7 linked regions of the Ovis aries genome follow. The protein of the gene in region 4 interacts with the protein of the main gene of each other region in a pairwise test. Links are inferred from orthologs where the notes say so. Each region holds a gene or a part of one and is shown on either strand. Other genes may lie near its edges. The genes, in order: phospholipid scramblase 2, POLI, RABGEF1, DAZAP2, PLEKHB2, SQSTM1 and TNIP3.

What was found.
Region 1: the proteins of DAZAP2 (region 4) and phospholipid scramblase 2 interact in binary tests that used the Homo sapiens proteins (3 or more experiments, as listed by UniProt). The two-hybrid records come from large-scale screens. The link is inferred for Ovis aries from reciprocal best matches to the Homo sapiens genes DAZAP2 and PLSCR1.
Region 2: the proteins of DAZAP2 (region 4) and POLI interact in binary tests that used the Homo sapiens proteins (3 or more experiments, as listed by UniProt). The two-hybrid records come from large-scale screens. The link is inferred for Ovis aries from reciprocal best matches to the Homo sapiens genes DAZAP2 and POLI.
Region 3: the proteins of DAZAP2 (region 4) and RABGEF1 interact in binary tests that used the Homo sapiens proteins (3 or more experiments, as listed by UniProt). The two-hybrid records come from large-scale screens. The link is inferred for Ovis aries from reciprocal best matches to the Homo sapiens genes DAZAP2 and RABGEF1.
Region 5: the proteins of DAZAP2 (region 4) and PLEKHB2 interact in binary tests that used the Homo sapiens proteins (3 or more experiments, as listed by UniProt). The two-hybrid records come from large-scale screens. The link is inferred for Ovis aries from reciprocal best matches to the Homo sapiens genes DAZAP2 and PLEKHB2.
Region 6: the proteins of DAZAP2 (region 4) and SQSTM1 interact in binary tests that used the Homo sapiens proteins (3 or more experiments, as listed by UniProt). The link is inferred for Ovis aries from reciprocal best matches to the Homo sapiens genes DAZAP2 and SQSTM1.
Region 7: the proteins of DAZAP2 (region 4) and TNIP3 interact in binary tests that used the Homo sapiens proteins (3 or more experiments, as listed by UniProt). The two-hybrid records come from large-scale screens. The link is inferred for Ovis aries from reciprocal best matches to the Homo sapiens genes DAZAP2 and TNIP3.

The regions. Positions count from the first base shown.
Region 1 is NC_056054.1:242,583,754-242,587,559, reverse strand, and holds part of phospholipid scramblase 2, read right to left. Parts: intron 1,521-3,806; coding exon 1,318-1,520; intron 14-1,317; coding exon 1-13. UniProt on the Homo sapiens protein: Catalyzes calcium-induced ATP-independent rapid bidirectional and non-specific movement of phospholipids (lipid scrambling or lipid flip-flop) between the inner and outer leaflet of the plasma membrane resulting in collapse of the phospholipid asymmetry which leads to phosphatidylserine externalization on the cell surface.
Region 2 is NC_056076.1:54,026,222-54,030,817, forward strand, and holds the start of POLI (DNA polymerase iota), read left to right. Parts: upstream 1-1,690; 5' UTR 1,691-1,719; coding exon 1,720-1,873; intron 1,874-3,798; coding exon 3,799-3,921; intron 3,922-4,596. UniProt on the Homo sapiens protein: Error-prone DNA polymerase specifically involved in DNA repair. Plays an important role in translesion synthesis, where the normal high-fidelity DNA polymerases cannot proceed and DNA synthesis stalls. Favors Hoogsteen base-pairing in the active site.
Region 3 is NC_056077.1:28,722,055-28,725,860, forward strand, and holds part of RABGEF1 (rab5 GDP/GTP exchange factor), read left to right. Parts: exon of another isoform or gene 1-602; intron 603-2,769; coding exon 2,770-2,939; intron 2,940-3,806. UniProt on the Homo sapiens protein: Rab effector protein acting as linker between gamma-adaptin, RAB4A or RAB5A. Involved in endocytic membrane fusion and membrane trafficking of recycling endosomes. Stimulates nucleotide exchange on RAB5A. Can act as a ubiquitin ligase.
Region 4 is NC_056056.1:134,989,170-134,993,567, forward strand, and holds the start of DAZAP2 (DAZ-associated protein 2), read right to left. Parts: upstream 2,865-4,398; 5' UTR 2,783-2,864; coding exon 2,770-2,782; intron 1,768-2,769; coding exon 1,649-1,767; intron 1,235-1,648; coding exon 989-1,234; intron 73-988; coding exon 1-72. UniProt on the Homo sapiens protein: In unstressed cells, promotes SIAH1-mediated polyubiquitination and degradation of the serine/threonine-protein kinase HIPK2, probably by acting as a loading factor that potentiates complex formation between HIPK2 and ubiquitin ligase SIAH1.
Region 5 is NC_056055.1:114,911,046-114,915,590, forward strand, and holds the start of PLEKHB2 (pleckstrin homology domain-containing family B member 2), read left to right. Parts: upstream 1-1,464; 5' UTR 1,465-4,545. UniProt on the Homo sapiens protein: Involved in retrograde transport of recycling endosomes.
Region 6 is NC_056058.1:1,203,402-1,207,641, forward strand, and holds the start of SQSTM1 (sequestosome-1), read right to left. Parts: upstream 2,801-4,240; coding exon 2,596-2,800; intron 2,178-2,595; exon of another isoform or gene 1,913-2,177; intron 773-1,912; coding exon 677-772; intron 152-676; coding exon 1-151. UniProt on the Homo sapiens protein: Molecular adapter required for selective macroautophagy (aggrephagy) by acting as a bridge between polyubiquitinated proteins and autophagosomes.
Region 7 is NC_056059.1:4,592,519-4,596,324, reverse strand, and holds part of TNIP3 (TNFAIP3-interacting protein 3), read right to left. Parts: intron 3,505-3,806; coding exon 3,385-3,504; intron 562-3,384; coding exon 436-561; intron 1-435. UniProt on the Homo sapiens protein: Binds to zinc finger protein TNFAIP3 and inhibits NF-kappa-B activation induced by tumor necrosis factor, Toll-like receptor 4 (TLR4), interleukin-1 and 12-O-tetradecanoylphorbol-13-acetate.

The sequences.
Region 1 (3,806 bases), on a different chromosome or scaffold from region 4:
ATAGCTGATCTATCTATTATAGTAAAAAAAAAAAGAGCTGTAACCATGTTATTAAGCCAAACAAATTAACATCAGTGTTTGTATGTTTTAAAAGAATGTATATAATCAGTTATCAACATTTATTAATAGTTAATAACTGTTTGTATCACTTCTAGGTATAAAATTAAAGTTAGTATATTCTTAACAACTACTGAAACGTGTTTATTTTTAATGTGGGCAAATTCAAGTCAAGCAAAATTGACTTACACTGGAATCCGTATAAAATTAGAAAAAAATGTTCCTTCCAGAAAGGGCCTAAGAAATATTAAGACCTTTTCATCCATTTAAAGAGCTTTTTACTACAAATAAAAACATTTTTCAAGTGTGCTTAATATCATTTATAGTAGGTGATGACTTCCCCAAATATATTGTAAGGGCTTAATTTTTCTTAAAAAATAATATACTTAGGGTATTTCTTAGAGAATTTAGGAACTACCAAATTCTTATATTATATGCAGCCCAAGTGCATTATGGGAAATTAAATTAGTGCAGAGTGAAAGAGAGACAGCTCATTTGCTGAAAACTAACTTACCAGATTTCTAATGCCAAACAAATACTAAACCTCACATTGCTGAGGTAAGCCATTATGCTGTACATTAAAACCCAGGAATGTTTTTTCCTTATTGGTAGCATTAATAAAATTCGGTCTTCTAAAGAACAAAAGCAACATAAAAATGTAATTTTCTAATTATTATAAAAGGTAGGTCATATTATACACAGATTATTAACTCCTTTCTTAGTACCACTTGTGGAAAACGAACACTAAATTGAGTCTGCTGTTTCTTTCCAACTCCTGGGAAGTTATTCAGTGTTGGGATTAAAAGGCACAGTTTTCAGAGCCAAGGTCCCCGAAGTAAAAATCTGTTCCTACTTCCTGTGCATTTTGATGTTGAGTAAATTATATAACTTCTCTGTACCTAAGTTTCTTCTTCTGTAAAATGGCGATAATTATAATACTTACATATCACAGCATTTTTTTAAAAGAATTAAATGAGTTACTACATGTATTACACTTAGGAATAAAGCATGGAAAATAGTGCTTACTAAAGGTTTGCTATTGGTTGTTACTGCAGATTATATTCAAGATCATAGAACACACAATTTCCTAAGACATTTGCATTTTGCTGTAAAAGTAAACCTGACCTAGAAGAATTAGAGTAATTTGTTAGTAAAGTTGTTTACTGTTTCACACTTTTGTGAATTAGTTAATTGTTAATCTCATTAAGTAAACTGGGAGCACTGTTTTGTTTTTAATGAGTGTTTTAGGTATTGAATTACCTGAGTTAAATATTCCAGTCCTGGTGGGCAGTTTAATGGAGGTAGTGGTGCTGGCATCCATGGTACCTGTGTGGGCTCTCCTGGGTGACCAGTCACTGGCTGGTATTGGACAGGAAGGCCGACTGGGCCAGGACTTGCATAGTCAGGCGGTGGCACTTGATAGCCAGCCTGGGGGTCAGAATAGCCAATATGTCCTGGAGGTCCTGAAATATGAACATGTGAAATAATTCATAACTGCACAGAAAAATGCAAACCAAGTCTTTTAGGATCACCCCAGTTGTCTACAAACTACAATTTCTACTCAGAAGAAACAGGATTTCTAAGATATTTTTAAATCTTAAGATATTTACGATTCTTAGGATTCTAAGATATTCTTATCTTTCAGTGATTTTTCAATGAGGTATCTGTGCTTTCATGTCCACTCCTATTCTGAGGGCTTTAGGCTCTGTGTACAGAGTTGCCACACAGACTTATCCTTATCAGTCAAAACTCAGATGAAAATATGCCTGAAAACTAAGGAAGTAAAATAAAGTCAACAACAATCTAGAGTCAGGTACATAAAACTTCTGAAATGGCTTCTTGAAAAAGAGGGATGGCATTGAGGAGAAAGCCCCAAATAGAGGCTCTGAGTCAGCATTTCTATGGCCAAACCACCTTGTGAAAAAAATGATTATAGAATTCTAACAAGTGATATTTCCTATACGTATAGTTCTGACAGTAGTTTTGTCCCTTTATTGTATACTCGACAACATCTGGAGACCCTTCTGGCTGTTACAATTGGAGGGTAGAATTAGCCTCAGGTGGGTAGAAGCCAGGGATGTTGCTAAATAGCCTAAAAGCACCAGAACAGCACCCTGAAAAAAAAAAGAATTATCCCTCCGAAAATATTATGGTGCCTTTGTTGAGAAACCCTCATAAAGAGGTAAAGGCATGTCATTCCTTCCACTACTGTCCAGATACTCCCTTGGGTTAACAGTTTGCCTGAAGTTTTAACCCATGGTGTATTCCATTCCTAAAACCCTCCACATAGGAAAAAAAAAAAAAAAGTTTAATTATGATACTTCCATTCCAAATTTAAATTTCACAATTTAGCAACTTTCTGGAAAATATAACTTGAGAATCAAGGAAGGTAAAAACTTCTAGCAGGCAAAATTGTCTCAAGTATTTATTAAGCACAGTAGTGGAATAAATTCAATAAGTATTTACTCTATTCCACATGAATTTGTGATTACAAATATGAAGCTTTGTAACTTTATAATTTAAATGAATAGTCCACAGAGGAACTGTTCCATAGGAATGGAATATAACTTCAAAGAAAATTCTATGTCCTACAATATTTTAATAGTTGTTGGTTGTTTTCAGTTGCTAAGTCATGTCCAACTTTTTTGCAACCCGATGGACTGTAGCCAACCAAACTCCTTTGTCTGTGGGGTTTCCCAGGCAGGAACACTTAGTGGACTGCCATTTCCTTCTTTAGGGGATCTTCTCAACCCAGAGATTGAACCCATATCATCTGCATTGTCAGGTGGTATCTTTACAATTGAGCCAGCCACTAGGGAAGCCTCACCCATTAGGTACTGTCTGTAACATCAACATATCTATTTTTAAACAGCACTAACTATAGTGAAAAGATTAAACCATAGGAAGCCAGTGAGGGAGAGATGTGAATTAACTGGTTACATTATTAGCATTATTAAATCTTCACAGGATTCTTTGAGAGAATAGTTATTTTCCAAATCAATGGATTAAATAGGCATATGGAATTACCTGAAATAATATTTCATTTACTTAAAGCACAATTGATTTAATATATTACTAATATAATGGCAAATATGTGTCATTTATTAATTGTAAAGCATTGTGCTGGGTGTTTTACACATAGTCTCATTTAATCTTCAGACCACCTGAATTAAAAAATATTATGCCCATTTTATACATAAGAACTGAGGCTTGGAGGTATAGCAACTTGCTTAAAACCATTACACAATGATTAAATATAGAAGCCAAAACTTGAAGCCTGATCCAGTCTCTCTATACCTGTTTTTGCACTTGCATAATTGGGATAATCAATAGTATTTACCCTGTTAATATTGTCTGACAATTAAATGAGTTAATCCATAGTTAGCATGATAAGCTCTCAATTTTAATCCATCACTGTTGTTAGCATCATTATCATAAAAGACCTGTACTACATGAGCCTTAGACTTGAGAAATAAAGTTGAGCTATTTTTCTCACAAGCTCGCCAGTCTGGTTATAACCTAGTTATGTACTATCTACTGTTATTTAGCCATGGGTGGATTAAAATATCCCCCAAGTGCTAATAATTCTCTAAACACCAACCATATAAAATTTTCAAGTAACAGTTCTCATCCCTGGCTGCACATTAGAATCACCTGGGAAATTAAAAAATTACTAATCCCAGGGTGCCACAACCAGAGCTTCTGCTTCAGTCTTCCTGGGATGGTGCCCTGGTACTACTGTTGTAGTT
Region 2 (4,596 bases), on a different chromosome or scaffold from region 4:
ATAAAGTCTGTCACTGTTTCCACTGTTTCCCCATCTATCTGCCATGATGGGACCAGATGCCATGATCTTAGCTTTTTTAATAAAAGCTGAGCACTGAATAATTGATGCTTTTTAACCATGGTGTTGGAGAAAACTCTTGAGAGTTCCTTTGACTTCAAAGAGATCAAACCAGTCAATCCTAAGGGATATCAGTCCTTAATATTCATTGGAAGGACTGATGCTGAAGCTGAAACTCCAATACTATGGGCACCTGATGGGAAGAGCTGACTCACTGGAAAACACCCTGATGCTGGGAAATATCGGAGAAGGCAATGGCACCCTACTCCAGTACTCTTGCCTGGAAAATCCCATGGACAGAGGAGCCTGGTAGGCTGCAGTCCATGGGGTCGCGAAGAGTCAGACACGACTGAGCAACTTCACTTTCACTTTTCACTTTCATGCATTGGAGAAGGAAATGGCAACCCACTCCAGTGTTCTTGCCTGGAGAATCCCAGGGACGGGGGAGCCTGGTGGGCTGCCGTCTATGGGGTCACACAGAGTCGGACACAACTGAAGTGACTTAGCAGCAGCAGCAGCTGGGAAATATGGAAGGCAGGAGGAGATGGGGACAAGAGAAGATGAGATGGTTGGATGGCATCACTGACTTTATGGACATGAGTTTGAGCAAGCTCCAGGAGTGGTGAAGGACAGGGAAGCCTGGTGTGCTGCAGTCCATGGGGTGGCAAAAAGTGGGATTCAACTGACCAAGCTGAACTGAACTGAGTGCTGCCTGCCCATGCACACAAGACCTAAGAGATGTGGGTTTGATCCCTGGGTTGGGAAGATCCCCTGGAGAAGGAACTGGCAAACACTCCAATATTCTTGTCTGAGAATCACATGGATAGAGGAGCCTGGCCAGCTACAGTTCATAGGGTGGCAAAGAGTCAGCTGGCTGAAGGGACTTAGCACACAGACACACAGACAATTACCAATGTTGCGATAGTTTTAGGTGAACAGTGAAGGGACTCAGCCACACCTATACACATGTTCTCTCCCAAACTCTCCTCCCATCCAGGCTGCCACTTAACAGTGAGCAGAGTTCCCTGTGTTATACTGTAGGTCCTCGTTAAGTTTTCCACTTTAAATACAGCAGTGTCACAGTATCTTTGAGTCAAACAACAAAACGCAATTTTAACATACTAGCTAATCGTATTAGTTGGAGAAGGAAATGGCAACCCATTCCAGTATTCTTGCCCGGAGAATCCCATGGACAGAGGAGCCTGGTGGGCTACAGTCCATGGGATTGCGAAGAGTCGGACACGATTGAGCAACTAACACAATCAGTTTACAAGGTCGCCTGGCTCTCACCATAATTTCCATCGATTCCCCCACCCCCATCACCATAAAATTTCAGCATCTCCGGGTTAGCATTTCTAACAGTTGACCGGGAGAACAAGCTGCCTTCTACATAAAAATAAACATTTAAAACTTGTGATAAGAACGTAACTCCGAAGACCGCATGCGGGGGCTGGGAAGAGCTGTTTGGGATGGTAAACCCTCCTTCAAGGCTACGCTGGAGAGAAGTCCCAGAGGCAAGTCAGGAGGATTTGCAGCCCTTGCGACCATCAAGGTAGCCCGCGGCTAAGCGCACACTGCGCAGGTGCGAGCCCCGCTGCTCCCCGCGGAGCGCGGGCGGCCGCGGCCGGAAGCTGCCTTTCGGTGGGCGGTCGCCGCGGGGGAATGGAGAAGCGGGGGGTGGAGCCCCAGGAGGCAGGCGGCGGCGACGACGACGAGGAAGCGGACTCGACTCGGGCCATGGAGCGGGCGGAGGCGGGGGCGCCCGGCGGCTGGCCCGGGGCGCTGGAGCCTGACGAGCCCGACGACCTCCCTTGGTGTAAATGAGCAGGCGGGGCGGGGCGACGAGGGCGGGCGCCCCGGGCGGCGGCGGCGGCGGCCGTTGGAGAGCGACCGTCCCCTCCCCGCCCGCGTCCTGGCGTGTTCCCGGCTCCGCCGAGAGGGCGGCCCTTCGCCGCTTGGTGTTCTGAGGCCACGGTCCCCGAGAGGGGCGGCTTCGCCCAGAAGGGGAAGGCCGGGCGCGTCCAGTGGGGTGATGGAGGCTGCGCTCGTCTCCCCTCAAACAGCCCCGCGAAAGCGGAAGGGGCCTCGGGGGCCTCAGGGCTGCGGAAGCGGGAACCTTGTCGCTCACTTGGTAGCGGTTGCGGCCCGGCCTCAGCCCGGAAGGGACCGCCCGGCTCGGAACCGAACCCGGCCGGGTCTGCAAGTGGCCGCCTCTCTGCTGATCCGCTTCCAGCCTCGGGGCCCAACCCCCGGGGTTTGGGGCCAAGGCTCTCTCTCCTTCCCAGTCTCCCAGCCCTTCGTTTTTAAAAAGCTTTAAAAATATTAAATACTTGCAGATTTACAGAGAGATGCACAGATAACTTTTACCGACTTTAATGGCTTACGTCACCGTGATACATTTGTCAAAAGAAAGTAACGTTGGCATAGTAATTGATACTCTTAACAGAAGGACAAGCTTTATTCAGATTTTACCAGGGTTTTTTTTTTTTTCCATTTAATTTGTTTCTGTTCCAAACTCCAAACCAGGATACCACATGGCATTTTAGCCTGCCTTGTTTTTAACTGCTGTTAATAGCTGAAATCTCCTGTCTTATCCCTCTGACCCCTCCACCAAGATGTGAACTACTTTTTAAAATCCAGGAAATATTTACTCAGTCTTTAAATTTAGCAAGTATTTGTTGGTAGTCTGCTGCTACTGCTAAGTCACGTCAGTCGTGTCCGACTCTGTGCGACCCCATAGACGGCAGCCCACCAGGCTCCCTCCGTCCCTGGGATTCTCCAGGCAAGAACACTGGAGTGGGTTGCCATATCCTTCTCCAAAGCATGGAAGTGAAAAGTGAAAGTGAAGTTGCTCAGTCGTGTCCGACTCAGCGACCCCACGGACTGAAGCCTACCAGGCTCCTCCATCCATGAGATTTTTCAGGCAAGAGTACTGGAGTGGGTTGCCATTGGTAGTCTAGGTATCGGCTATTCAGCATTGAACCAAATAATCCTGATCTCTTGGGAGCTAAATATAGTCCACTGGGACCCATAGATTCTGCCTTCTGTTTTGTGTTTCAGGCTGTTTTTTTAAGGACATGCCACTTAGAATAATTTTTTGTTGTTGTTTAGTCGCTAAGTCATGTCTGACTCTTCTGTGATTGCATGGAATGGACTGTAGCCCACCAGGCTCCTCTGTGCATGGAATTCTCCAGTCAAGAATGCTGGAGCTGGTTGCCATTTCCTCCTCCAGGGGATCTTTCCCACCTGGGGTTTGATCCCATGTCTCCTGCTGCTGCTGCTAAGTCACTTCAGTTTCCTGCGTTGGCAGGTTAAATCTTACAAGGAGCCACCAGGGAAGGATAATTTTTAAGTTGGTTGGAAGATTTGTGTTTACAAACTTTTCAGCCCTTTCCAACTTACTTTAAGTTTTCCTATAAACTTCAAAGTCCTAGGATTACCTCTTGCGTCTTCCATTATTGATAAAAGGTTTTTTTCCCTTAAAATTTATTACTATCCTGAGAAAAATGCAATACACCAAGAAATAGTAAACAGGCCTGAGGACTCTCTTGTAGGTGGAGTTTCTTTCATATCCTTGTAAGTTTTAGATTCTTTGAGACATGTAATAAATCCAGGGGAAAAAAACTTAAAAATCACTCTATATTCTTTGTTGGTTGCCATGTTTTAAGGGACTGGCAGTTGCTCAGAGGTGATAAACAGGCTGAATGTGTTTTTTTCATTTGGTTGCATATTGTGCCACAGTTCATGATGAGCTGGAACCAGCAGGAAGTTCTTCATGTAGAGTCATAGTACACGTGGATCTGGATTGCTTTTATGCACAAGTAGAAATGATCTCCAATCCAGAACTAAAGGACAAACCTTTAGGTAATTCTGGACTTTGATACTATTTTCATTGTATGATATGATTTGTTATTTATTCTGATTTATTAAGCATATTAATGTTGGCAGCAGTTCTCTGATGCTTTATGGACAGTAATCTTTATTTCACTACTGGATGTAAACTTCATGAGCCTCATTTACTAAATGGCAAATGTGAGAGAAGCAGTGTAATTAACCAAATAAACAGGAAGACCACAATAAACTTCTGGTCTTTTTCTCAATGTTTGAAATTTTACAGCCATTTTATCTCAAGAATAACCTTTTAAAAAAATTTTAATAGGCATTTTCAACTATTCTACTTTTGAAATTAACTATTGAATTGTGTAACAAAATAGTTGGATTTTGTGTGACAAAACAACTGGATTTTGAACAACCCAAAATATTAAGGCATGCATAGTACAAGCTTTTCATGAAAACATAAGTATGTTTTAAAATAAAAGGCAAAGAAATTTTACATTGGGGAATTACCGAGTATTGTGTTTTGGCTTATTTTATTTTTACATTGGAAAAGTAAATTTCTAAAATTTTATGCATGTAGTAAGGATTTATCTTTGAGTAAAAGCATGCTGGGAAGGATTGCAGGCAGGAGGAGAGGGGATCGGCAGGATGAGATGGCTGGATGGCATCGACGATTTGATGCACATGAGTTTGGGTGAACTT
Region 3 (3,806 bases), on a different chromosome or scaffold from region 4:
AACCTTCTAAGGGATTTGAAAAATATTTTAACTTCCTGTTAGAGTTGGCTGTGTCTTCAGAGAAGATTAATGGGACAGTTTGACTGTAAAGACTCAGAGAATTTACTTTCAGTTTTTTAATCTCCAAAGCAGGGTTGAGTGAGCTGTAGTTTAGAGTAAATCACAGTGGGTCAGCCAAGTTGAAATACTTGCTCATACATTCTAAAATGCTCTTTTTCTTTAGCGGTCAAATAAATGTCACCCTGAGTAGAATCTTGTGTTCATCTTTTACAAATAATCTAAAAGTTATGCTCTAAGGAGGGATTAAGGAAGGCTGTCCTTTTTTTTTTTTTAGAATTAAAATGCCAGTCTTTCTGCTTAGACCTTAGATTCTAAATACTATCCTACACTGAAGTGAATTCGGGTTCCTTGGAGAATTGACTGATTCTGGAACTGGAGCTGGGAAAGGAGGGCCCCTCAGAAATGTTGGGGACATGTCAAACACCCAGAGGTCAGCTTGAATGGGTTCCCACTGACCAAAATTGGATATCAAAACAAATAAAGATATAAATGGACTGTAGATGAATAAAACAACAATCCATTAGTCCATCCAACTAATAAAATAGATAAATGAAGAAGGGAAGAAAACTCTTGCTTACCATAGAATGTTGACTAACAAATATAGGAGTGATGGAGACAGAAAAATCACCATTTTATAGTTATCCTGGTAGGAACTGGTTCAGACAGGTTTCACCAGTGGATGCTGAATCTAGGGTGAGAGGAGGGAGTTTCCTGAGGAACAAGTTGTGAACCATGATTCAGGTTAACTCCCACAGCTTATTTACTGATTACAAATAAAGAAATGATAGCTGTATTACAACATGGGAAATGGACCTTCTGTGCCTCTGGATATGATAATTTGAGAAGAACACAATATCAATTATGTAATATTTAAGCTGAAAATTTATAACCTGACATCTAGTCATGAGGCAACAGTAGAGAAACACAAGTTGAGGTACATTCAGTAAAAATAACTGGCTCATATTCTTCAAAATTGTCAGTGTCATGAAAAAAACAAAGACACATTTCCAGGTTAGACTGTATGACCAGTCTCCTCAGTTTGTGTGACCCTCAGTTTGATCCTGTGTTTAAAAAAAAATGCTAATTTTTCAGTAACTATAGTTAGCAACAGAATATCCTTGTTGCTAAGAAATACTCAAACTAAGGGATAAAGAACATGATACATACCATCTACTCTGAAAAAATTTAGAAAAAATTGCACACAGACATGGAGCAAAATGTTAAAATTTTGTGACTCTAGATAATGGGTAGAAAGGGATTCTTTGGGAGAATTCCATGGACAGAGGATTCTGGTGAGCTGTGATCCATAGAGTCACAAAGAGTCAGACAACTGAAGTGACTTAGCAAGCATGCATGCACATACTAATTCATAACTGGTGAATGCAGTTCATCTTTTTTTTTCTTTTAAGTTTTTTTAAAGTAGTTTTAGGTTCACATAAAATTGAAAGGATGATGCAGAGATTTCCCATATGTGCTATGCCCCCACACATGCACAGTCTCTTCCAGCATCAGCATCCCCCACCAGAGTGGGCCATTTGTGTTACAGTTGCTGAACCTACATTGACACATGATTTTCAGAAGTATGTAGTTTATATAAGGATTCATTCTTGGCATTGTACATGCGGTTGATTCGGACAATTGTATAACAATATGTATTTACCATTATAGTATCATACAGAGTATCTTTCATTAGCATTTTGAAAGAGTATTTTTTAAAAATCAAAATCATCTGTCTTTGGAAAATAGTATTTGTTGAAGGGAGAGAGTGTGCACAAGTAAGGCAATAAAAGAGATGGCCAGAGTTTCCCTGCCCTTGGCTGGCTTACAGATCCGCAGAGTCTCAGGGCATGGTGTCCCCTGGAAAGAGTCCTCAGTCCACTCTGACATGCTGAGGCAGATACTGCATAGTAAGGAGCTCAGGCTACAGAGTTAAGGCACAGAGTCCTGGGTTCAGATTCCAGCTTGTGCCACTTAAATAGCTGCAGCATCATTCAAGTTAATTAACGTTCTCAAGCCTTAGCTTATAGAGTTGTGAGGATTATACAACAAAGCGTCGGAAAAGTACTTAGCACATAATAAGCATTTGCTGTATGTAAACTATTACCACTGTTAGTTTGTCAGATTGCATGTGTATTCTGTTTTTGTTGGGTGGAGTGTTCTATAAATATCAATTAATTCAAGTTGTCTGATAGCATTGTTCAGGTATTCTGTCCTTATTGACTTTTTTGTATTACCTATAATATTGATTACCAAGAGGGGAGCATCAAACTCTCTTATTAAAATTATGGATTTTTAAATTTCTTCTCTTTAGTTTATGTTTCATGTGTTTTAAAGCTGTGTTACTAGGTGCATGGGCTTCCCTGCTGGCTCAGGGGTAAAGAATCTGCCTGAAGTGCAGAGACAGGGGTTTGATTCCTGGGTTGGGAAGATTCCCTGGAGAAGGAAATGGCAACCCACTCCAGTATACTTGCCTGGGAAATCCCAGGGACAGAGGAGCCTAGTGGGCTATAGTTCACGGGGTTGTAAAAGAGTCAGACACGACTTAGCGATTAAACAAACAAGGAGAATCCAAATATTTAAACATAAAATAACTTAAATTCAAGTTTAACTTTGATTTAGCATAATTTAAATAATCTAAGGTTAGGTACTTAAAGTAATTCCATGCATGGATCTTCGTGTAATGAAACTTACTATGTTTAATTTTCCCAGCAGAAATTCAGGAAGCAAAAGCTCCCAGTCCTTCCATAAACCGGCAAACCAGCATTGAAACGGATAGAGTGTCTAAAGAGTTCATAGAATTTCTCAAGACCTTCCACAAGACAGGCCAAGAAATCTATAAGCAGACCAAGCTGTTTTTGGAAGCAATGCATTACAAAAGGGTAGGTTGAGAACCACCTAGAAATGTAGAGTTTTGGTTTTAGGAAAGGTCTTAGAGATAATCTAGTGAAACTTTGTCAATTTCCAACTGAGAAAATAAAGATCCAGAAATGTTGTCACTTACCTGAGAAATGTCACTGAACCAAGTTAAACATGACTCTAAGGCTAATACTTTTCCACTGCAACTCAATGGTATTTGGATCATCTTCATGTGGAAAGTCTGGCATCAAAGCCACTTATACTGTGTCCTTTAGTAATAAGCCTTCCTAACTTGTCACCTTATAAATAGTAAGCTGCCAAGGGGGTCATAGTAGACCTTGAACTCTTAAGTAGTAATCATTAGACCAAGAATAATCATTTAGGATTTTTTTTTTTTGGTTTAGTTTGGTTTTGTATTTTGATTTTTAATTTTCCTGTCCTTGCTCAGGTAGAGAAGTGAAAGCTAAAATTTAGACATTGAAAAGGACCTTAGCAACTTCTGTCCATTTATTGTACAGGTAGGGAAGTTGAGAGCTAGCGAGGATGAGTGACTTATCCAGGGTCACTTGGATAACAGCTTGTGTCCTCTCCATGTGTGTCTTTACCCTGTAATTTCTAACCCATAGTTTCAACAGTGAACCACTCTTGCCCACACCTTTTTCCTCTTCGTTCCTATCTTCTCCACTCCTAGAGTATGCCAGTGATGAGCAACCTTTTTTCCACATAGAGGTTGAGTCCAGAAAAATTAAGTAGTTTCAGAATTGCATTAAAATTTTTTTCAGCCATTTTATCTTTATCAGGACATACTTTATATCTGCATATCTGCACTGAGAGTTTTTAAAAATAATTCCTCATCCCCAAAATGTACCTCTTTAGGCTAAAATTTCATT
Region 4 (4,398 bases):
AGTTACGAGGACATTGGCTCCCTGCATGACTGCCAGCTGAGCAGCATTGGGAGGGCATCCAGGGGGAGGAGGCTGAAAGGAAAAGACAAGGTTGATTGGGCAGAGGGCAGCTATGGGAGGGAAGTGGACAAAGGTGAAAAAGGACCAATCAGGAAGATGGCAGTGTGCTAACCAGCGGCATCTCAAAGAGCTATCTGGGCCACCAATCTGAGTCCAGCAGGTCTACATTCTTTGTAAGGCCAAAGATATAAACAGGAAACCCACTCATTTAAAGGGTTCTGGATCCAAAATAAAGCCTATGGATACCTTCTAAGTGTGGGAAGTCCAGACTTGGCATTTTCAGTGCAGAAAATCACTCCTATTCACATCCCAAAACGGAGCGGGTACCAGGTCCAGGGACTTATATCACAGGGCCTGACAGTTTTCAAATGGCCCTGGATAATCTGAAGGCTCTACCTGATGACAGCATTTTCACTTCATCCCTAGCCTATGGTTATTGAGTAGATGGTCCTAGCAAGGACCATATGGGCTCTAATTCCCATACATAGGGGAACTAATCAAGAGACATTGCTAAAATCCCTAGTATCTCTCTAAATGCAATTTAATAGGGATTATGCATTGTTTTTTTAATCGTCATGGTTCCTAATACGATGCCATGCTGATGGCACATATAAATAAATGCTTATGGAATGAATGAGGAGTGTTACTAAACTAGTATCAAAGTGAACTGGAAAAGCAGCAGGCAGGACTCCTAAGACAGGAAAACAAAGGAATCTGATAAATTCTAACATCAGTGAGTACGCCAGATGTTACTGACTGGCCACGGTTCTCCTGCCCCTTTGAGTGCTTTCTGCCTGACTACTGGACGTCAGTGATTATTACACCAATACCAGCAACTATTACCCAGGGATGATGAAAGGATGACCAGTCATTTCAGAAAGTTAAAATACACAAGGGTCGAGCTTTTTTGTGACCAAGTCATACTCACAGGAATGTTTCCGGCAGTAGCGCCAGCTCCAAATCTGGCCCCTGTATCATACCCTCCTTCCACCAGCACTGTTGAACCAGGTGGATAGATGGGACCAACTGGATAATAAGCCATGGGGATTGTGGAACCTAAAGGTCCAACAGCCACAGACTGGGCCATGGGAAGATACAGTGAGGCGCCAGGAAATGCAGCTGACATGGTGGGGACGGTGGCAGCCCCCGGGTGCACAAAGCTCGGACGATAGAGCTAGAAGAGGCAGAAGAGAAGGCAATAAGTTACTTCATGACATTCCTATTTCAGATCTCAATTTAATGAGTCAAGTCTTAATTCTCCTTGTGCAGATTACACTCTTTGAGTTACACAAGTTGCCTTTCCACTGCCACTCAATATTCTCCTGGATCACTTCCTGCTATAGCTAATGTTAGGCTCAGGGAATGCAAACTCATCTTCTTAACTTCAGCCAGTGCCAAATAACATAAAACAATCAGATAATGCCTTCTCAAACCCAAAAGAAATGGCTGAACTATGTCACGTTTTAAGATGATTCATGTGAGCACTCTCTTCTGTTTGTGGAAAGTAAATAAATGTGTGGAGCCAGACTTGGCCAAGGACCGAAAACATGATCCAAGAGTATTCCATTATTAAGTTAACTGGAAGCACCTCTGAGTAGGCAGGTGGAGCATCAGTATAGGGTGGAGCCTGAGGAAGATGCAAGGTCTGAGGGTACACAGGGTTCCCAGGAGGCTGCACAGGGTAAGTTGGCTGCGTTGGATATTGACCTGGAAGACAAGGGGGGAAAAAAAGCATGTTGTCTACCATACAGTCACCAAAACAAAGCAGGGCATATTGGGTAGCTAATCTAGCTGGGATAAGCAAAAAGAGATTTCCAAACAGACTGCCCTAGAGGGCCTGATTCCTGGAGCCAAGAAAATAAGCATTCTCGTTGCACCCTTAAAGCTGAAGAAGCTGGATTCCAACTGGACATCCAGTAGCCGACTGCTGTAAGGGGAAAGTCTAGCTGGGCCCAAGATCCTCTCAGAACGCAGGGCAGTTCTGGGCATCCCCTCTAGCCGGTATTTCAACGGTGTGTCCTGTCTCCCTGTCCTGCGTGGTCTCCAAAGGTCTGGTTGTAACTGACCAAGACCTCGTGAGTAACGGTGGTTGTGGTCATCGACCTCACAGGTTCCTACTCAAGGTCGACTTCCAAATGAAAAGAGTGAGTGGTGGAAGTGAATGCTGAGATCGTGGAGGGGGCTGAAGGGAATGTTCTGACACAGAAACCGGGAGACTTTCTGGCCGCCAGCGAGGGTAAGGGGGAAGAGACCCCCTTCGGGCCCGACTGGCCCGCCCACCAGAGCGGCACTTTACTAGTTAAGCCCGGAGGCCTGCCTGTGGTTCCGGAGCGCGGCGCCCCGCCTCTGCCAGTTCTCCATTGGCCTACCCAAATCTCGCCTCCAGCTCCCCATTTGCTCCTACAGATGCCCATCACGACAAACCTTCTCCCCACCCCCCCAACCCACCCACCCAACAGCCCCCCCCCAACCCGAGTCCGCAGCTCCAAACTGCGCCACAGAGTTTAAGGGAGAAAGGGCCGTGAGGGAGCGAACGGCCGTAGTTCGGGAATGACGAAGGTGTCTGGCGCAGCCCCGGGCACTGCAGCTGGCTCAGGAGCGCGGCGCACCTCGCCCCAGGCCTGGCGTTCGGTGACCCTGGGCTCCGGGCCCGCTCGTTCCGGGCCAGCACTAGTCCCCCCGGCGGCCTCAGCCACCCCCTATCCTTGCCTTTGCTGTTCATGGTGGCTGCGGGTCCGGCTCGGCTCGGCGTCGCGGACGGTTATTTTTTTCGTCCTCTTCCTGTTCGTAGTCACTTCCGTGTCACGTGACGATCTGTCCGCCTAGCGTCACCCGACGCCCGAGTGCCGCTGCCACCGGAAACCCCGCCCCTTCGCCCGGCCGCCGGTTGCAGGAGGGAGGGCCCGCGTGATCCCGTCCGCTCGCGTAGGCCCCGCCCACCGGGTCTGGTCCTCCAACCCCTACCCTTGTCCCTCGGCTGAAGGAAAACCAAATACAGGTATTGTCTCAAAACGGGATCTTCTCTCTCTTGAACGCTCGGAGGCAGTAACATTAAACTATTCTCTGGAACCTTTTTCCACCTACGTTCAGCACCTCAAGGTCACCTCACCTTGACAGCCTTTCTACAAGGGGCATGCATGCTTGCTAAGTCTCATCGGTCGAGTCCGACTCTGTGCGACTCTGTCCATGAGATTCTCCAGGCAAGAATACTGGAGTGGGTTGCCATTTCCCATGGACCGAACCGGAAACTAACACACACACACACACACACACGGGACATAGATTCCTACACACACACACACACACACACACACACACACACACGGGACATAGATTTCTACAATCTTACCTAACTGCCTGAGATGCTTCGCAACCCTTGATCTATCTCTCGTTCCCCTCACTCAAGTCTTCACTGCCTTTCTATTCTACCGATAGGCTGTCGGTGTTTTATTTCTGTGTCGCTTTCTCACCGACAGAAAGGGTATGCTGTGCTGTGCCCCGCCCCACCCCGCTGCAACAGCTAGCACTAAAACGCATGTTCTTGGTACCCAAGGAGTACCCATGCCCTGGCCCTTACTTTGATACCTGTCACAGACACCTGTATGGTACCTGATAGGTATTTTCTCTGTGTATCCCTTCTCTTCTAACTTAATCGTTCTTAAGAGCAAAGATGCCATCCTTTAAGGCAACAATTGCTTCCATTCTTTAAGATATTTGCTGAACGCTTGCTGTGTTCAGGTACAGAGATGGAGCTGAACAAGACAGCCCAAGGCTATTTTCTCATGGTTTACATTCTGTAGTGTAGGAAGAACATTAGAAAAGCATCTGAAAAGAAAGCTTTGAAAAGAAAAACCCTCGGTAAACATTAGCAACCTGATCCATATTTGCTGTTGAATGACTTAAACCACTGAAAAGACCAGTACTCACTTCATCAGCAGTCCGCTGTTTTTCTCTCCAGTGTCAAATTACAGTTTGCAGGACACCATTAATATGCATGATTTTATGGAGTCATCACAGATCTTCACAACAGCCCTGTGTGGCAGGCAGGGCTTGTTTAAGCATTTCTGTTTTTCAAATGAGAGATTTGCCCTAAGTCACACAGTGAACAGGTTACAAAGTCAGGTGTGTTATCTTGGTCCCCACCCCCACCCCGGTTCCCAAATCAGTGGTTTGGTTTTGTTTTGTTCTTATCCCTTTACTCTGCCTATCACAACTGCTGCTGCTGCTGCTGCTAAGTCGCTTCAGTCGTGTCCGACTCTGTGCGACCCCATAGACGGCAGCCCACCAGGCTCCCCCGTCCCTGGGATTCTCCAGGCAAGAACACTGGAGTGAGTTGCC
Region 5 (4,545 bases), on a different chromosome or scaffold from region 4:
CGGCCTGCCTCGCGTGCCCTGCGCATGCGCGCCGGGAGGCGTGACGTCTGACGGCGGCCGGGACGCCAGCGTGAGGCCGCCGGTGCCGAGTAACCGGGCAGTGTCCTTTCGCTTCGGCCCTGTTTCTGTGCGCGGTGGTGGCCGGACGCTTTCCAGGTGAATATTCCTGTCCGATTTCGGCGACCCAGACGCCCTCCGGCCGGGCCCACCCACCCTGCGCCCATCCGAGGAGACCCCAGGCCCGTGCCCTCCGTTCCCCACCCAGGCGGCGGTCCCCCCGGAGTCTCCTCTGGAAAGGCCCATCCGCGCCCCCCAGCCCCGCCCGAGCCCTTCCTCTCCCCTTCCTTTCTCCTCCATGTCACCCTCTTTCTCTGCTTCCCTCCTTCCCCCGGGCCCTCCCAAGCTTGTCCAAGAGCCGCCGCCCTCGCCTCCTCCAAGCGGACCCCCCTTCCAGACCGTCGCGCTCCGCCCCTCCGATCCCTCGGAGCCTCCCCTATAGCCGTCCGCCTGTGTCTTCTCCACAGGAAACCCCCCTCCCTTCGTCCCTTTTTTCTCTCCTTCTGGAGCCTCCCTTGGAGCTGCGCGACCGCGCCCCATCCGAGTTGACCCCTCAGCGGCTCCTTCCCTCTCTCCCTAGAGCCTCCTCTGGAGCCGCCCGGCCTGCTGGACAGCTCCTGCTGCTGCCCCCCTTCCTGCAGGTGCCCCCCGCCGGCCCGCTGCCCATCTGCAGTGTGGGCGCAGAACTCCACCCCTGCTGCCCCGCCAGCCCAGGGGATTTGGACTCTTTGGTTCTCCTCACACCTGGAGGTCTCGTCCTCCTTAAGAAGGAGTCTGGAGTGGCATTGAAGCTTTGCGCTCGCGTGTGGGGCCCTTCTCCGCTTGGTTTCATCTACTCTCGGTTTTGCAGTGTCTTAGTTTTTAGGTGCTCCTAGTTGCATTATGTCTTTTTTTGACAGATTGTCTCACCTGCCAGTTACATTAGGAATCTCAGAGCTCAGGGGTTTTTTGTTCTTTTAACTCAAAGGTAGAGTAGCTTACACAGGAACGTGTTTATAAATGACCGAATAGTAAAATTCCAGGTTTCCGGGGTGAGCGGGGGAAAGGAATGAGGTGAGACGGTCACAGTATAAAAAAAAATCTAGGGGGACATAGTTAATTTTAAATCATGTTGGAATTGACTCCTGAGAAGCTCTCGTTTTTTTTTTAATGTCTTTTCTGTCTAGGACGGGGTAGAGCCACTGCCAGAGGGAGCAGCGCTTTTGTCTATAAAGGAAAGGAAGTTCCTGGGTCTTGTTGAACTTTGAGGAGACCAGTTCCAGTGCAGGAAGTGACTTGTCTCAGTTACGAAGGGAGGGGGAATTAGGGCCCCGAGCTACTTACCTGTTAACTACCTGTTTGTTTACGACCCTTAATGTTTGTCTGACAAATAATGACCAAAGTACAATAGAAGTGTTACGTGCATGTGCAGCAAGACTGCTCCTGCAGCTGGTTTTCTTGTGCTCAGCACGTCCCCTCGGCCCAGGAAGTTCTTAACCCTGGGCTGGGTTGGACTGGTCTGACGGTTATTGATAGAAGGTGGTTGTTGGGGAGAGAGCTGGGCAGGTGCTTGTCTGGTCTTCCCTGTGATTAGTGTTTACTCTTGTTGGTAGTGATGACTTAAGTAATGCCCCGGCCCTTCCCCCAACTCCCCCTCAAATCTCTTGAGAGCAGGAATCAAACATATGTTGCAGGATTATCCTGGCAGGTGAGAGTGTCTGGCACAATATAGGTGGTCAGTAAATGCTTACTGAAGGAGATTGCAGAAAAGAACTCAGAACCTAATGCCGTTTCTTTACTAGCATGTTTTTAATGGTGTTAGCATATTCTGCAAGTAAGTAGCCTGATAATCTCAGGGACTGAATTTGTGAAATGTGTAAGTGGTGTGGAAAGAACAGATACCTTCTTGAGGTAGTCATATTACTTCTTGGGAAAATAGAGGTTTTTCTTGATTTCACTCTAGAAGGTTTGCTGCTGTACTTACCAGGTTGCTATCCTACATTAATATTTGGGTTCTTTCTCCTGTCCTGTTTTTTTGTTTCTTACTGAATGTCTAAAGAAATTAAAGAATTACTTTATTAGTGTCAGTAACTACCAAAAACTGTTGAGTAAAATTAACTGTTAAAAATGTTACAAAAGGACTTCCCTGGTGGTCCAGTGGCTAAGACTCTGCACTCCCAATGCACGGGTTGGGGTTCAATCCCTGGTCAAAGAACTAGATCCACATGCTGCAACTAAAGATCCTGCACGCGGCAATAAAAATGAAGATGGAAGATCGTGCCTGCCACAGCTAAGACTGGTGCAGCCAAACAAATATTCTTTGAAAAGTTACAAAAAGTGGGCTGGTTGAATCAGTCCTATTTTATTGGCTGTATATCTGCTTCTGAATTTGATCCTGAGTACAGAGTATTGAACTTTCTTGCCTCTTTGTTTTAGTCTGTCTGTCCTTTGATGGGTGCTTGTATTGGATTTGTTATTAAAAATTGATCAGTATGTAAAATGGCCAACACCAAATATGAACTGACCTCTGAATGATAATAGATTACCCAATCCTTGTCCCCTGTGTTGTTTTGGAGTCCTTGAAGAACAAAGTTTTCCTTCCTTTGGTAAGGAAGTAATTTTACAGCTAAAATACTAGTTCCTCTGAAAGTGAAAGTGTTAGTCACTCAGTCGTGTCCAACTCTTATGGGATCCCATGGATTGTCTCCTCTGTCCATGGGATTTTCCGGACAAGAATACTGGAGTGGGTTGCCATTCCCTTCTCCAGGGGATCTTCCCTACCCAGGGTCTCCTGCATTGCAAGCAGACTCTTTACCGGCTGAGCCACCAGGGAAGCCCCTAGTAGGTAAATTTCCTGATAATCTCAGGGAGTGAATTTGTGAAATGTGTAGGTACAGAATGAACAGATACCACTTTTTAAAAAATTTTGTCCAGCTGTGCAACTGTGGGATCTTAGTTCCCCAGCCAGAGATTGAACTGCTCTTGGCAGTGAGAGCTTGGAGTCTTAATCACTGGACTGTGAGGGAAGTCTCCAGATACCACTCTTGAGGTAGTCATATTCCTTGGAAAGGTAGACAGTGCTAACTAAATAAGCCAGGTAAAGTGGGCTTTTAGTCAGAACTGTCAGATTCCAAAGGCAATATTCTTTCCAACTTTTAAATTGGTCCCCTTTAAGATTCAATGATTTTTAAAGTGATTTGAGTTCATATTCAAAGTGACTTGAGTAATTCCCTGGCAGTCCAGTGGTTAGGGCTGGGTGCTCTCACTGCCCCAAGGTTGGGGTGAGGGCAGGGTGTGTGTTCTGGGTTTGATCTCTAGATGGGGAAGGAACTAAGATCCCATAAGGCAAGAGGTGCGCCCCCCAAAAAATGAAATGTTGAATATGATTTGTATTTTTAAAACTTTTTGTAGATTTTATTGGTATGTGAGTAAGGTGGCTATTTTGCAGCTAGTTTGCTGGTAGGTATTCTGTCCTGTAGAACTCTACTCCTGTAGAGTTTTAGTTTATGCATTAGATCCTACTTCAGGGTATAGCTTCCCTGGTGGCTCAGAAGGTAAAGAATCTGCCTGCTGTGTAGGAGACGTGGGTTTGATCCCTGGGTGGGGAAGATCCCCTGGAGAAGAGAATGGCAACCCCCTCCAGTATTCTTTCCTGGAGAATCCCATGGATAGAGGAGCCTGGCAGGCTACAGTCCGTGAAGTCACAAAGAGTCAGACACGATTGAGCGATTAAGCGCTTGTGTGCGTGTGCACACACACAAACACACACGGAAAGTGAAATTCAGCAAGGTATGTCAGAAAGCTATTACTGTTTCTTCAGAGACTGATTTAGTTAGGTATTCTGGGAAGGGTTTTTTGGTTTATGTTTTTTTTTTTTTTTCCCCCTTCTACTGTGTGTTCAAATTTTGACAGCCAGGGGCATCTTAGTAAGTCTCCTAAGCCATTTGAGAAGCAGCCTCATGTGCTTCTGTCTTCTAGAATGTTTCGGGCAAATTTTAGGTGGATGGTGAGGAAATAATAGCAAAAATAGTAGTAATAATTGCTGTGGGAGTAGCTACCATTTGTTGGTTTTAGTAACTGTCACACACTATGCAAGCACAAGCTATTTTACCCAATTTTCGAAACATCTTATCCAAGTAGGAATTAGTATTCTCACTTTATAGATGAAGAAACTAAGCCTTGGAAAAGCTAAGTAACTTGCCCAAGGTGATTTATAAGTGATTGAGCCAGGATTTAAACGCAGTTCTTTTGACTTCAAACCCTGTACTCTGAAGCATTAGGTTCTATGAATTTTTTAAAAGCATATTATCAGAATCATACTTTATGATTTTTGATTCCTAAAAATATAACAAGTTTCCCCCTCCATTTTGAAAACAAAGAACTATTAGAAGGAAGGTTCAGGTAAATGCTGTTCATTTAGGGATTAAAAAAAATTAAGAATAATAAAAATTATTGCCTACATGTTCACATTTATCAAAATAATGTATATACATAAATTGAAAATCCAAA
Region 6 (4,240 bases), on a different chromosome or scaffold from region 4:
CACAGGTCATAGTCAGGACAGACGCTGCACTTGTAGCGGGTCCCCACCACGGGCCCGTTGCAACCGTCACAGATCACGTTGGGGTGCACCATGTTTCGGGGCACCTCCTGAGCACACGGGGGGCGCTGGTCCCGCCGGCACTCCTTCTTCTCTGCAGGCAGGATGGAGAGCCGAGACTCTCGGTGAGCCACGAAGAATCACACTTGGGGCCATCGGTCAGAAGGCCCACAGTGCCACCCTTCAGACACTGAGTCCACCCGGAATTCAGGTGTTCAACTGACAGTAACAAAGCAGCTCCAGAACCTGCTAAGAGGCTCCAATCCCTGCACCCATGACCTGGAGACGTGCGGCCCAGGCAGGAGCAACAGAGAGCTGTGTCCATACGGCTATGGTCTTGACCCGCACTAAACTAAACCCCAAAGCTGCCCTGGCCCATGACTGCAATCAAGAGGGAACTCCCCTCAAGAAAAGAGTGAACCCAGAGACCCTCCAACCTCACCCCCTGTGGTGAACACAGACTCGTTTCTCAGGTCAAGCAGAGTAATGACTGTGGTCCTGTCTTAAAGAGGCCCAGTCTCCTCACCCCTTCTTTGGAGGAACTTCTGCATAACCTCAAGCCAGCTGCACTCAGCAGGGAGCACTAGGCTTTAGGCAGCACCCCAGCGCAGCCCCTTACCTTTAATGTAAATGCGGAAGATGTCATCCTTCACATATGACATAGCCATCGTCAGCTCCTCGTCACTGGAAAAGGCAACCAAGTCCCCGTCCTCATCTAGATTGTTTAAAAGACAGCATGTGAGCACCCAGCGTGTCTCAGTTGGACACAGCTGCTGAAAAGGGCTGAGGCTGGTACTGAAGGGCCACTGCAAGGTTATAAACCAAAGCCCACCTGTCTGACCCAGAGAAAAGCAGGGCTGAGGGCAAACCACCCGCTCACTCCACTGCCTGGAAGGTAAGGACTCCAGCCCGGGCCGTGGACACACGCCAGCAGCAGTGTGTGCAGGGACGGCAGTGACAGCTCCTGCCCACTATGCTCTGCCTCTGGACCAGCTGCCCCATCAGAAGGCTGCTGTCTCTGTGCACATCCCGCCAGACCCAGTCCCCATGTCAACGTGGAGATCCCCATCTATGACCTGCTCCCCTTGGACCGCTTGTGGCTTAAAAGACTAAAGCAGAATACATCTGCCTGCTTCCGCCCCCAACAAAGTTAAAATTATGTATTTGTATGTAGTCTCCAAGTTTTAGATGTTGGCACAAGTGGTTTAAAACATCACCATGCAAGACAAACCACACCATACATCTGCAGGCTAGATCAGGTCTGTGGGTCACCAGATGCAACATCTACCAAAAAACAGTGGCTGTATCAAAAGCCAGAAACAACTCAAATGTCCATCAGCTAATGAACAGCTCAACAAAATGTGCTGTATCCATAAAATTGAATGTTATTCAGCCACAAAAAGGAATGAAATACTGATACATGCTGAACATACGCGAACCTTAAAAACATCATGCCAAATAAAAGAAGCCAGTTACAACAGACTACATTTCTACATGAACTGCCCAGAACAAGGGAATCCATAAAGTAGGTTAGTGGTATCTGTGGCTGGAAGCATGGGATGGGAGGATCGCTAAAGGGCAGAGTTTCTTCAGAAGGTGATGGAAAGATTCCCAGATGACTGTGATAATGGCTGCAGAAATCCGTGAATATGGTAAAAACTGTACACTTTGAATGGACGAATTCTATGGGGTGGTAGCTCAATAAAATCGCTAATTTTTAAACAGGTGGAAAAAAAAGTTGGGAGCCTGGCAGCAGTCCAGAAGAAGGTCCTAGCACCGCCCCACGTACATGGGCCCGCCTCCCTCCCAGCACAACAACCTCCGCTAACCCCACACCCAGCAGCCAGCTTCTCACCCGCGCAGCTAGAAACTGAGCTGCCTCCTGGACTCTGTCCCTACACCATTACTTCTAAGAACGTTTTCTCTTGTGCCTCTCATCACTGCCAGTGGGATAACGCCTGGATTCCGCCTAGCCCTGGCTGTTCGTGAGGCTGCTCGACCTCTGCCAGCCGCCCGCCAGTCGCGGGCCAGGCCGCACCACCGAGCGCCTCGCCTCCCGGGGCGTTTAACGGCGTCACCGCTCTCCCCGCCGGCCCTTCCGCGGCCGCCCGCCCCGGCTCTTCCGGGTTCTCGCCACAGCCCCCGCCTGGCGCCGGCAGACCCGGACTGCGGCAGCCAGGAGTCGGTGTAACCCGAGAGGCGCTGGGGGAGCAGGTGAGGACGCCCGCGCCCTCGCCAAAACCTGCACTATCACCGCGGGGGGGAGGCCTCTCAGGCCGCCAGGCCTGAGCCTCGCCGGGAGGGCCTGGCGGCGCCAGACGCCCCCCTCGAGGGCTGGCTGCGGCCGCCGCTCCTCGTCAGCAGGGCGGCACCAGGACCGCGCTAGGGGCCCACGCGGGCCGCCGTCCACCCGGAGAGCCGCCAGCGAAAACCCCCGCGGGCGCCGCCCAGGCCGAGGCGAGGGGCCGTTGGCCCGCCCGGCAGGGCAGGGCTGCGTCACGGCCCCGCACCGCTGCCGAGGGCGCCGGGCCCGCTCACCGCGGTAGTGCGCCTGAAAGCCGCCGGGCCGGAGCACAGGAAAGAGCGCAGCCACACGGCTCAGCAGCCGCTCACAGGGCCGGGGGCCAGGGGCGGCCTCGGCTTCGGCCTCGGGCTCCGGGCTGAAGCAGAAGCTGAAGCGGCGGATCTCGCGGGCTGCGTCTTCCTTGCCCAGAAGGTAGGCCTTCACCGTGAGCGACGCCATCACCGCCACTGGAGGAGCTGGAGCACAGCTGGGCAACAGCGGGCGGAGGCGCGCGGCTTTTGTAGGGACGAGGGAAGCCGCGCCCCCCGCCACCGTCTTCTGGGGGCGGGGCCTCAGCGCCCGGCCGGGGCTCGCGAGCCGCCCTCCGGGAGCCCCAGGCTCACTGCCCGCTCGTCTCCGCCGGGCCCCCTCATTGCCGCCCCCTTTCATCACCGCCCCTAATGCACCAGGCACCCCAAGAGGCCGGCCCCCTACTCCGACATCAAAGATCTTTCGCCAGCCTCTTCACCTGGGGACCCCTCCCAGGTCTGGTCCTGGCTGTGACTCAGCAAAGCAGAACCCAGGAGGCCTGGAGATGCCCGGTGCAGGAGGAAGGTGGGCGACAGAAGCCCGAAGCCAGGAAGCTCCTAGGCGCTCAGCGGGCACCGCCATCTAGAACAAATTGGCTCCTGACGTGCTGTCCTGACCTTGCCACTCTTGGCAGAAGCCCCTCCCTTTGAAGCCATCAGCTTCTCAGGTGGCAGCCCACTCCACCATCCCCAGCATCCTCCATGACAGCCCTTTACTGAGTCTTGGAGGGACAGACCCTCCCAACTGAAGCGCAAGCAGCAGCTCCCAGTTTGACAGAGGGTAGGGTTGAGAGGTGCCAGGACAGCACAAAATATTCCCATCTCCACCTGACCCGGAGGGCTTGCTAAGGCTTCCTGGAGCCTCAGTAGCCACCAAGTGTTCAAGTGCTCCCTAGAAGACTCGCCATTGGTGCCTGGACACCCATTTGTCATCAGGTGGTACCCAAGGGCCTGAGGGGGTCTCAGGTCTGTTGCCTCATGAGCAGCCCAATAGGCAGATCAACAGCCTACCGCCTTCCTGTGCTGGGCATCTCCAGTTTTATGTGACAAAAGTGACCTGTTCAAACAGCCTGGGGGAAGGGGTTGGGATGCGTGTCTTAGAAGAAGGTAGTCGAGAAGGTATGTCACCCTATGAACCCTCCCAGGTATGGTTCTGTGAGTAGAAAGTCAAACCTGCTGAGTCAGATTCATGCTTTTTCATGGTGGGGTTTGTGGAAGAAGGTAAAACTTCAAGGAATAAGGGGAAACCTGGAGACCACAGGAAGGTCAGTTGGATTTGGCTAGTCAGATGCACTGGTGCGATGCTTGTGGAAGCACAACTGGGGCCTGTTCACAGGGTGGCTTGTCCTTCCCAGAGAGCTCCAGAGAAGGCAAGGCTTTGAACTGCTGTCTAGAACCCTGTAGAGAGGACAGTCTGTTCTCAGGCTTCTCCCGGCATCCCTACTTTGAGCCTGAGAAAAGACCCTCTCTGCCTACTGCCCTACAGACAGAGTTAAGGGACAAAGAGGGAGCAGTGCTGGGTGGAGGCACCCCACAGGTGCCCCTGTGTGACTCAGCAGCTTGAGAGTCACTCAGCCCTGGGCAACGCAAG
Region 7 (3,806 bases), on a different chromosome or scaffold from region 4:
TAGCTATATAAATGACATTCATTATGCATGTTTTTGGAAGACAGGAACATTCCAATGTAGTCCTTCAAAGAAAAATGGTAAGAATTTAGAAACAACTTCAATGTATTGGAGTGTTTCGTCTTTGAATATAAGTGCTATTTAGTTCCAACTCTCATTCTACCAAGATAAATATTATGAGAAAAAAGATCAAAAGAATTGGATTTTGTAAAAGACTTTGGAATCCAATTTCTTGGATAACTCTTTAATATACTTAAGTTAAAAGGAATCGCCAGTCATTTTCATCTCTTTATAAAATTGTTTACAAATGATTTCATCCCAGATGTTAATCTCTCAAAAAAAAAATGGCCATTAACAGAAGCCAAAATATCTTGATTTTTTAATGAGAAAATAAATATAAAATACATATGTGCTGGCAAAGGTTATTTGAACTTATACCTGAGAATTCAGCTTGTTCAACTGGGATTGAGAAGTCTGAATAATTCGCTGTAGCTCTTCTTTTTCTTGATTAAGTCTTTCTCGGTCTAATCGCTCCTTTTTGAAGTCTTCTTCATATATTTGCACCTAGGAAATGTTAACATGCTGTTACTGCTAGCTTCCTTTTCTCTTAAGCCATTTAAATGAGTTCAGAAGAGATGCTGTCTGGGTTTGTCCAATCTGAGACATGGATGTCCTCTTTTCATGAATATTTCTTTATGGTGGGACTCCATCTTGATACCTGTGACTATAATTTCATCTTTTAGTTTGTTTAGAATGGCACTTTCTCTACTTTTTTCTCATTGAGCAGTAATTCATAAGTAAATTCATGGATATTTTGAAAAAAAATTCCCTTCACCAATATTTCTATTGCATATTACATGACTGTGAGGACACCTTGACCCCCCTGACTCCATCAATGTTAAGAGTCACTGTTTTGGAACAAATCACTCATCTCTAAAACAAGGCTTTGACATAAATATTGCTTGAAGTTCTTCAGTCAGTTTACTGACAATAGCTAAGCGAAGCCACTGACTACTGACATGTCAAAGTTTCTAAACAGAAATTATAAGTTGAGTACAAGTTAAAAATGAAAGGCTCATGTACGTGGGAAACCAAGGGATGTTTGTTAAAGGACATTCATGAGAGTTGCCCTTTATAAGTAACTGTGGGCATATATCATAAAAAGAGGAACGTTTTAGTGGAATGCCTCTTGAGATGTACTCCAAATATTGTAGAAAAGTAATCAAAACAACCTTGCCCCAGAACAGATTTAATTATTGTTTGTTTTAATTGGCACAGTGTTGATTGGTGGCTTGGAGACTAGAATGTGGAGTTATGAAAACAAATGAAGCTTAAGGAATGAAGCAAAGGAATTCCTCTAAAACTAGATTTAAATCATAACATACATGAGAACCTAACATTAAACTACATTGCACCATCATCACCAACAGTGCAACAAATTTTAACTAAAGGATTATCAATTTTAAGTTAATAATAACAGAACAAAGTGTAATAGGCAAGAGAGGAAAAAATGAAACATTTTATATAGCTCTATATGCAGATATACATATTTAATTTCAAGCCTTTTTTCATCAGAAGGATTGCAAAGGAACTATATGCAGCCAAGCTGACATTTTGTTTTCTGGTGTTGGGTTTTTGTTTTTGTTTTTTTTTTGGTTGAGAGTAGCAGTCCAAAGGCACAGATACAGTTTAATCAATGTATAATTAATAAACAATTACCAGAGGCAACTAAAGTGGGAGAAGCCCATTGATCAGAACAGAACACACTTATAGTGATGTCATCACTTAGGTGGCCAATTCAAGCTCAGTTTCTTTGTGAATTTAAATTCTCTAGAGTTTCACGTAGCACTTGGTGGTGTAATTATTGTAGGTACCCATTTAGAAATGTGCACAGTTAAAATGTGAATGTAGAAAGCTAGCAAAAGGGCCATACAAAAATGAAGGAGATTAATCCTGGTCTACTCTTGGGGGTTATGAAAAAAAGAATACTTGCCACTATCTCTGTCAAATACAAACTAAACCATTACTGTAAACACTGCATGTAAGAGCAACTCTCCTGCATGAAATTTACATTATGTGAGAACAATGAAGATGACTCGAGTGTCTGAACATAAGCAGTCCGTTTTTCAAAGGAATCCTGGTTTGTGCCAGTGTTACTTCAGGGGTTGAGAATCTGGCAGTTTTAACACTCTGACTATACCCTTAATCTCAACATGGGTTTATTTCTAAGCTGTATATTTGATCCTGAATGTAATGAAGCAGATTGTTCAAATGGAGTTGATAGAAGAAAAAGATCCAATTTTACGTCAAATGCTCTGGATATTTTAGATTTATAAATAGTTACATTCTATGAAGTAATAAGAGTAATGTAAATAACAATATCACAGTTGCTCAATTCTTCTGTGTATTGCATCAAGATTCCTTGTAATTGGCACTTGCTCGGAGCAAAACAGCCAACAAGCTACTCCCAGGGACATCAGAAAATCCTACATATACATTCTTTGTTCTGTGACATCCTGCCCTGCAACCTGCCATTGTTAACATATCACCAACCATGTGTGCTTCGAGGATTGGAATTCCTGTATTTCTCAATATCACCTTGAACTGTTCCAGCCCTTTACCTATGCTAGTTCATTTCACTTCTCATAGGAAAAGAGATGTGATATGCTCGAGTGGCCCTGTGGCTAAGCCAGTTCCAGCTATATGAATGGAATTTAGGCTCCGGTAGTTTAGGCAGTGCTATGTCCCATAGCCCCGTGCCGCTGATGCATGCAAGAGCTTATTAGAGCATCCTTGACTCTTGCTGTGTACTTGGCAACAGTGAGTGAAGCAGGCTGGGTGGGAAGGAGGAAGCCATAACTCGTCAGTAAATTCCTAGGCAGTGCCATCCATACGTGGGAGTAGATAAACAGATGTGCCTCCTCTGATCAGCGCAGAGTATTCCCTTTAAAACTGCCCTCATTGTTGCAAAGCCTGGAAGGTCTGAAGCTACAGAGAAGCAGCCCAGCTGCTACCATTTTCTGAAAAGGTCCAGAGTTTAGGTTAATAGTGTCTTCGAAATAAATTGTGTCTGTGTGAAAATCTCTGGAACCAGTGCTAATAGAATTTCACTAAAAGGTTAATTAGCATGCCCTTCTTTTAAGTTGTGTGCTCTTGGGCAAGCCACTCGACCCATCTGAAATTCAATTTTCTCTTTTATAAAGTGTCAGAGTTGGACTAGTTGATCTAAATTTCCCCATAAAGCTTTAAAATTAGGTAATTATAATTAGATACATGCAAAACCCTTTGACACAAAGTGAAAAGCAGGACTTCTAGAAATGTCTAAAGCAGCACATGAACAACAGGCCCTAAGTTCTCCTCAAGATTGCTCCACTTTCAACTTCTCACCTGCTGTTTGAGAACTTCCATTTCTGTTCGCATCTCCTCATGGCTGCACTCCATTTCAGACTTCCCCAAAGGGTCCTCAGGAGATGAAGAACACTCCAGTTTCAAGGCATCCTGCAGAGCCTGTATTATAAGATAAGCACACTGTTGACCTAAGAGTTGCCACATATGTATTTCTCTGCAATTATTACAATCGTTTCAAATGCACTCACAAGGTAGAAGTTCATTTTTAAAGGCCTCACTAAATAATGTTATTCTGATTTTCTAGCATATATGCATTTTTTTCCAGAATCTCTGTCTTTTCTCCATGATGGTGCTTATGTTATTCAACTCTCATTGTGACTTAAGAAGGTTTTTAATATTACAGACCCTCCCTCCCACCTGACTAATCATAGTTGGAAAACAGATACATAGTCTTTCTCTAG